Linked DNA regions of Coturnix japonica. The protein of the gene in region 2 interacts with the protein of the main gene of each other region in a biochemical or structural test. Links are inferred from orthologs where the notes say so. Each region holds a gene or a part of one and is shown on either strand. Other genes may lie near its edges. The genes, in order: SHH and PTCH1.

Region 1 (3,812 bases), on a different chromosome or scaffold from region 2:
TTGTTCAGGTGCAGAAACCCTATGTGCCAATTCACACACATACTCTCCAAAAAACCCAGGACCTTCCAAGCACTATTTGCACAGCAGAGCCACTTTTCCAAGGCACTCAAGATGTGTATTTGAATTTTAAATGCAGAAGCTCGCTCTAAATACTTGCCGCAGCGCATTATCAATGTCCCTTTTACCACCCCTGCCTCTCCCTCCCCTGTCCCAGTGACAATAATTCAGGCCTTGGGGGAACTCTTCTTTGCATTCCAGTCTCTGGGATCATACTTTTTGCAAACAGAGATCTAGATAAAGAATCTTCCTGCCTGCCATTATGGGGTTTAATCTTCTCATAAGATGCTCCATCATGAAACGAGGTTTCCACAGTTTGAAACCAGACCGAGCGGGTGGAATTCAAGCCCATTCCCTTGCAACCCTCGTGGTACAGTCACACGACCCCGCCTGACACGCACTAAATGTCACCCCAAAGTCCGCGTGTGCGGAATCTCAATGAGCAGCTCGGGGGTTGCTCCTCTCCTATGAAATATACATGGAGGTGGATTAGGGTGGGTGCTCGGAATAAGGTTATTGTGCGCCACAATCAGACACCTTGAGCCATAAAGCCCATCCTCGCTATTGAAAGGGACGTTTCATATCGCTGTGAGACCAGCAGCTTTGTGGAGCCTCCGAAGGGCTGGGGGAGATGAACAAAAGCAATGTCAGGCTCCCAGGACAAAGCCCTGGGCTGGAGAAGTCCCAGTGTGGACTGGGACCCAGTTACAGCTTGGCATGTTGAAGCCAATGCTGTTTACTTGCTGTTTCAAAGTAAATCGATATTTTTAGAGAAAGCCCATTATTTTCTTTTGCAGCCAAGTGTTTCTTGACACTTGCAGCTCTCTCCAGGCTGGAGGATGCTCTCACAACACTGCCGTACAGCACAGGGAGGCGGGCCCGGCGACTGGCACACGCCAAAGGGGTTCGCTTAAAATCAGCAAAACGACGATAATTTTGTTTTAGAAGAGCCAAACGCAGCTCGGGGTTTCTCGCGAGCTGTTCCCGGGTTGAGACAGCGTGTGGCGTTGTAAGCACAGGGAGGGGAGGCAGAAGGAGATGCGCGCTTATCGGGCGCTGGGAGTTTCCCGTCGGCTCCCGGCGGAGGGGCCTCGCTCGGTGCTCATTTCCCGGTCCCCTCCAGCCCCAAGATGAGCGATCGCTTCGGATGGGGAGAGCTTAGATCCCACGGAGGGAGAAGAAGGGCGTGTGGCGGTGGTGGGAAGGCTGGGCAAACTGACAGAGAAATTAACGCTGGCAGGAGGTGCTGCAGCTGGCTGGGCTTCTTCCTTCCTTCCTTCCTTCCTTGCATTTTTTTCTTTCTTTCTTTCTTGCATCTCCCCTATCTCCTTCACTGCCCCTCTCCCCCCACCGCCTCCCCCACGTGTGCCTCAGAGGCGGGCGCTCGGTTCCGCACCCCGACGGGGCGGGCAGAGCTGATGGGACGGGGAATTGGAGCACAGAGCCCGGGGGTGTCCCCACCGCGTCCACCCTCCCCGCCTCACCTGCTTTGACTGAGCAGTGGATGTGCGCCTTGGACTCATAGTAGACCCAGTCGAAGCCGGCCTCGACGGCCAGGCGGGCCAGCATCCCGTACTTGCTACGGTCCCGATCCGACGTGGTGATGTCCACAGCGCGACCCTCGTAGTGCAGCGATTCCTCGGAGTGGTGGCCGTCCTCGTCCCAGCCCTCGGTCACCCGCAGCTTCACCCCCGGCCACTGGTTCATCACAGAGATGGCCAGGGAGTTCAACTTGTCCTTGCAGCGCTGCGGGGACATGGGGACACAGGGAAAGGCACATTGAGGGGACACTGCTGTCACCGGGATCAGATGCCCCCCCCCCCCCCCCCCCCCCCCCCCCCCCGTCGCATCCTACCCCCCCCCCCAGCCAAAGGGAGGAAGAAGGGATGAAACACCNCACTGCTGTCACCGGGATCAGATGCCCCCCCCCCCAGCCTCCCCGCACCTCCAGGGTCGCATCCTACCCCCCTCCCCAGCCAAAGGGAGGAAGAAGGGATGAAACACCGCAACGCCGCTCCCTCTCCAGCACCTGCCCCACAGCCTGAGTGCGCGGTCTAAAAGCCCCGCATTCCTGCACTAAGTGCCCTGTCCCTTTGCCGAGAACAAAGTTCTGCCGAGAATAAACACTCGCCATATATCTGAGAGTCAGGGATTCTCCCCGGAATGTCTCCCCGGGTCTTTTCAGCTTAATTCTGTGTTGAAAGGGGTCTCAGTACACGTTAACAGACTTTATGTGCTGCTGTTTTTTGTTGTTGTTGTTGGGTTTTTTTTGTGTGTTTTGTTTTGTTTTTAATTATTATTTCTCACCCATCACTCATTAGAGTCCTCAAAGCAGCGTGGGCTGGGAGCATTTGCTCTGCTTTTGGCATAGACATATGATAACATGGCTCAGAAAAGGAAGATGGAAAGCAAGAGAGGGCCAAGCAGAGGAGTTACAGGGATGCTGAGTGGCCTTTGTGTGCAGTGAGAAGCTTTAGGCCCCATAGGAAAATGCTATAGGGTTTTCCTTCAGCCCCCTCTCTGGAGCTACTGGGCTCACCTAGAGCCTCACAGTGGGCAGATTCAGGGGTGAGCTCTATACAGAGCCCTGAAAGTGTAGAGGATTAGTGTGTGGGTCAAGGAGGTGGAATGACCAGCTCTACAAGGAGAAGGACTTGCAGCTGCCCTCAGACATAAGAAATAAGCACTGAAAGCATTTGACTGAAAGGCACACAGCTAGAAAAACCACACATGGCCAACTTTTTCCTCCTTTTTCAGAGAGAAATAACTCATGACTACAAACAGCATGAACGCACATGGGGTAAAGTCACAGCAAGAGGCAGGAGCTCTCCCTCACATACATCCCCAAGTGGGACGCCCTGTCCCACAAAGGCCCCTTCACAGCTCTTAGCAGGGCCCAGCATGGCCATCCCTTTTCCAGCCCCACTCTAAGGGACATGACAAGACTGTTCAATGTGAAACTTCCCATGTGTCTATCACAGCCATAAAAAGCAATTCCAGCAACACACACGGCCCCGAGAGATATCAAACACAATCACGAGCTCACTTTGGACTCTGTGGCCTAGCACTCAGTGCAAAGAGCCAAGGAAGCTGCTTTCAGCCCATTCCCTACAGCAGAGCACGAGGAAGCAGAGGGCATATTTTTACTTCCCCCCTTTGCACACCTGAGAGGATGGATGTGCTCCTGCAGAGCTAAACGGGTACGAGCAAGGTATGGGGGTGGCAGGACGTCCGGGTATTTATAAGATCAGGGTAGCAGGATCTCACAGTAGCAGGATATCGCAATACCAGGATGTCACGATAGAAGGATATCACAACACGAGGATATCATGATAGTAACATATCATGATAGCAGCCCCAGTGGTGGGTGTCCCTCCCGGCCTCTGGCTCAGAGAACGCAAGGAGCCGTGAATCGAGCAAGGGAACGGCCTCCTAAAGGACTTTCCTCCCTTTCACTCCGCCTGAGCTGGATTGTCGGAGTCAAAAGCCGTGAAGCCCAGACTATTTATTAATTCATCGGGTCGTGTGCCACAAATCAAGCCCAATTCTGTTCAGCCACCGTGAAGCTCAGCAGGGCTGCCTCCGCCGACGCTTTGTGTGGAGGCGAAGTTGTTCAACAAGCCCTCTCCTGCCAGCTCCTAATCTCTTCACAAATGAATTGCTTGAAGGAAACACTTAACAGGTACCTGTCAGTGTAAACAACCTGGTGGGCTTCCTAAATGCCAAGCTGATCTCTGAGTTCCTCCCATCGCGCA
Region 2 (3,819 bases):
CATACTCATATCCCTTGAAGTGCTCATACATTTGCTTAGGAGTCATTAACTGAAACATCGTTTGCAGCGCCTGGGCACTGTAACAGAGAAAAAGAAGAAAAGGAGGAGGCATAAAATAATCTCATGGCATGAAATCCCAAATGAGAGCCTAACAGCAGTTTGTAGGAGCTCTTGATTTTATAAAGCACATACTCACATTAAAATTGAATAGAGTATAATTATGCTAACTACGTATCTGGTGCAGCTGCATGGCTCTTTCAAGTACTGAGATTAAAACTTAGTTTCACTGAAGTTTATTTAGCCATTATTTTTGATAGGATCACTTTGGGTGCAAAGAATAAAACACTACTAATCAATTATAAGGATCATGATTAACAGATGACTATTACTGTGAAGATGACATAAAAATAGTTATTTCTATAAGATCTTTTAAATGCCATTGAAAATTTGTCATTTGAAAACCTTGGCATTCATTAACCATTCAAGAGAAATGCCATATTTAATTCCTGTTGCCTGGCAGACTGGGAGGACTACACAAGGACAACAATTATCCAGTGTGACTTTCCACAGTATTCAAATGCATCCAACAATTTCAGAAGCTTAACAACTACTTTATTTTCACTAAAACATATCCTTTGGCTTAATTGTTGAAAGATTTACTGCAATAAATAATTCTTCAGTATTTGGTGGAAATGTAAAAAAAAAAAAAAAAGTTCATAATCAATATTAAGACTTCCAGTAAAAAACACCTCTATTAAATATGTGATAACTGTGCTTCATTTAGCTTACTATGTCCTATATTTTTCAGAATAGTTCTCTCTCACAGGCTTCTCCCTCAGTGAAGTCCTGACTTCTTTAAAGAAAGTCTAAAAAAGTGTTTTATCGGACAAAAATACATTCAAGATGTAATAACATAAATAATATACTTTTCTCCATATTGATTCTAAACAAAAAGTTACTTTGAATTTTGAGAAAAGCCAAGTGAGTACTTTACCTGTATTTTTCCCCCTTTTTTGTCTGACAGTATTTCAAAAAATGCTCAGAGCTGTTTGGTGTTTCAAACACTGTTCAATGTTTTATACATACACACCAAACAACAAAGATGTCAGAAAAAAAAAATAAAAAATCTATTTCTAAGAAATGTACATTATCATTCGGAGGTTAGAAGCAGGAAGCAGTGATGTCAATTAAACAATTATCTAATCATTGTTTTAAATTCTGCTTTCTTGAGGCATGCATGTCCTCCTAAAAGGGTTCATAATACACATGAAGGATAAATACACATGTACCCTAAAAACGAAATTCTAACAGGGAAAAACTTTAGAATTTTCTTTAAACATTTATTTCTTTACCTGACAAGTTTACCAGAACTGTTCTTGACTGTACCACCTATAATTAACTCTTCCTGCCAATGCATGTATTTTCTTGACAGTCCATAGCATCCACCACTCAATATAAGGGCTACATCAAGAGGCTGGAAAATGTTATAAAGAAGAAATTGATCAGTTGCATAACTTCAGACAAAACTGCATGGAAGTTGATTTATGGTACAGTAAAAAAACTGATATTCAAGATTGTTTAAGAGGTCTAAAAAGAGAAATTATGCTCAACTACTCAAGTGGACAAATCAGTCAGGTATTAACTGAACAAACAGCAACTTTCCCAAAGCCTGACTGAAAGACAGATGTATAAAACTGGGCACCACTAATTTAGATTATTCACAAAGTAAACAAAATTGGCCCTACCTGAAGGAAGGAAGGCTTTGCTATCTGGTATGAGCATACAGAGTAGATGCATTTCAGCAGTGGTTCTCTCTGAGGAATTAAGTCTTTTGAAATGCTACACTGCCACTTTGCCATCCTTGGCCAGCAGTACTGTACTCTGACTCTAAATATGGGGGATTAACTATTGCATCACAGAATGACAGAAAGTTATCAGCTGTTTCAGCAGCAGTCAATTAGACCTACATACTGCTTCTTCTCTCCTCCCTGCCTCTAGCTTCCCCAATATAAGATACAAACAAGCACAAGAACTTACTTTGGTAGAATTTTTATTGGGAGCTGTGATTGGGCAATCAGGATCAGCAGGATTCAGGCAAGGTCGATCCATATAACCATGACCAACCTCTGCTTTATTCAGCATTTCTTCCCAGCTCTCCACTTGGTAGTTTATTTTCTTTAACTCTTCCAAGAATTCTAAGGGGTCAAAGTTGATCCACTGCAAAGGAGGCTTCCCTCTGCAAAATAAATCAGGGTTTTTTTTGTTTTTTTTAATTATGTTTGTTTTCTAAGTTATTACATTTGCTGATAAGATTGTTTCATACAGGATATGAAATGTGGCATATTTTAATTTTATTTGTTTATGTACCTTTTTTGTAGCCTTAGTGCCATTTAAAAATAAATATTTGGGTTTTACAAAGTTATTGCAAAAAATACAATATATTCACAAGTAAAAAGCACTTCTATTTACAAGCAAAAGTAAAGAAATTATTAAGCACCTAAATAATAAAAAAGCAGCCAATTGCTGCTGGACAGAATTAGGGGAAAGGAAGAAGGAAAGAAAAGAAGGGGCTGAAGAAAGAAAGCCTTTCTCATAGTATCAGATTACTTCTTGCTACTCTAATAACCATCTTGCAGATGTAATCAATCAATACAGATGATCTTTGGTTATACTATGCTTCTTCAAATGCCCTGACAGCTTGACTATTGGCTAGCAAGCTCTCTTGCTATCACGGCTACCATTACTATCACTGTCGTATTTCCCACCCCAACTTGTGAATTTTTGATGTTGACAGACTAGAATGGATTTTGGCTGCCTTATTCTGTGGTTCAAACCACACTGTATCTGCCTAACCAGGCTTAAGTCACTATTCCAGTTCTCCCAACCAGAAATCACAAGCCCTGTATGTTTCCCATCTAGAAATGTACACTAAAGGTTATGAGATAGCCATTGCAAATTGCTTTTACAGAGACAGAAACAAGAGCAAACCAGAGCAGAAACAATTAACTCTTGCATAATTAACAGAAAATGCCCACACATATCAACAATTAATTGCTTGAATGATTTAGGGCATATAATATCACATTTATAAATTGTGAGAAACCACCCATAAAAGATACTATGTATGGTTTCTTCGATGAACTCATAAGTAAAGGATTTGGATTTTTTGTTTCTTAGAAGATCTGAGATTTAACCCCAGAAATTTTCTTAGAAATAAAATTTCCAATTAATCAATGCTATTTGTAAACTAAGAAAAAAAAGAGACAAGTTTATTTCCAAAAGAAGCGTAAAGCCCTTAAAGCTTAGACTGAGAACTTATAGCTTTAAGGGCTTGCTAGCAGAGTGAGAAAAATACTACAGAAACCAAATTGATGCCTACAATTCATCTTGCAGAAACAAAAATATGTGTTCAGTTAAAAAAAAAAGTCTATGCAGACTTCCAGTAGAGACGCCATAATTTTATTTTACTGTTAAACCAGAATGTCAATGGATAGTCAGAATGCAATGCAAAATCATACATAGTTATAGAATTAAAATTAATCAGACTAGAAAGATAAATAATTGCATGCTTACAATAGATAGGCAGTTCCTGACTGTAGCTTTGCTCCCTCCCAGAAGCAGTCCAAAGGAGTGATAATTAAGCAAGGATAAAGATATTCTATAATCTGTCAAAATGAGAAGTGGCAAAAATTAGGCTAGAACATAATCTAAGCAGCATAAGTTCAATTATGATTATAGAAAAAGTTTCCAAGTAAATGACTGCTATGCATACCTGATCCATGTAACCTGCTTCTGTGATGAGTTCCCCTGATTTATAAC

Evidence for each region.
Region 1: the proteins of PTCH1 (region 2) and SHH are reported together in a solved structure, tested with the Homo sapiens proteins (5 studies listed by BioGRID and IntAct, with this or other methods). The link is inferred for Coturnix japonica from reciprocal best matches to the Homo sapiens genes PTCH1 and SHH.

Annotation. Positions count from the first base shown.
Region 1 is NC_029517.1:7,179,869-7,183,680, forward strand, and holds part of SHH (sonic hedgehog protein), read right to left. Parts: intron 1,804-3,812; coding exon 1,542-1,803; intron 1-1,541.
Region 2 is NC_029547.1:37,982,420-37,986,238, forward strand, and holds part of PTCH1 (protein patched homolog 1), read right to left. Parts: coding exon 3,773-3,819; intron 3,666-3,772; coding exon 3,574-3,665; coding exon of another isoform or gene 3,570-3,573; intron 2,237-3,569; coding exon 2,038-2,236; intron 1,475-2,037; coding exon 1,353-1,474; intron 78-1,352; coding exon 1-77.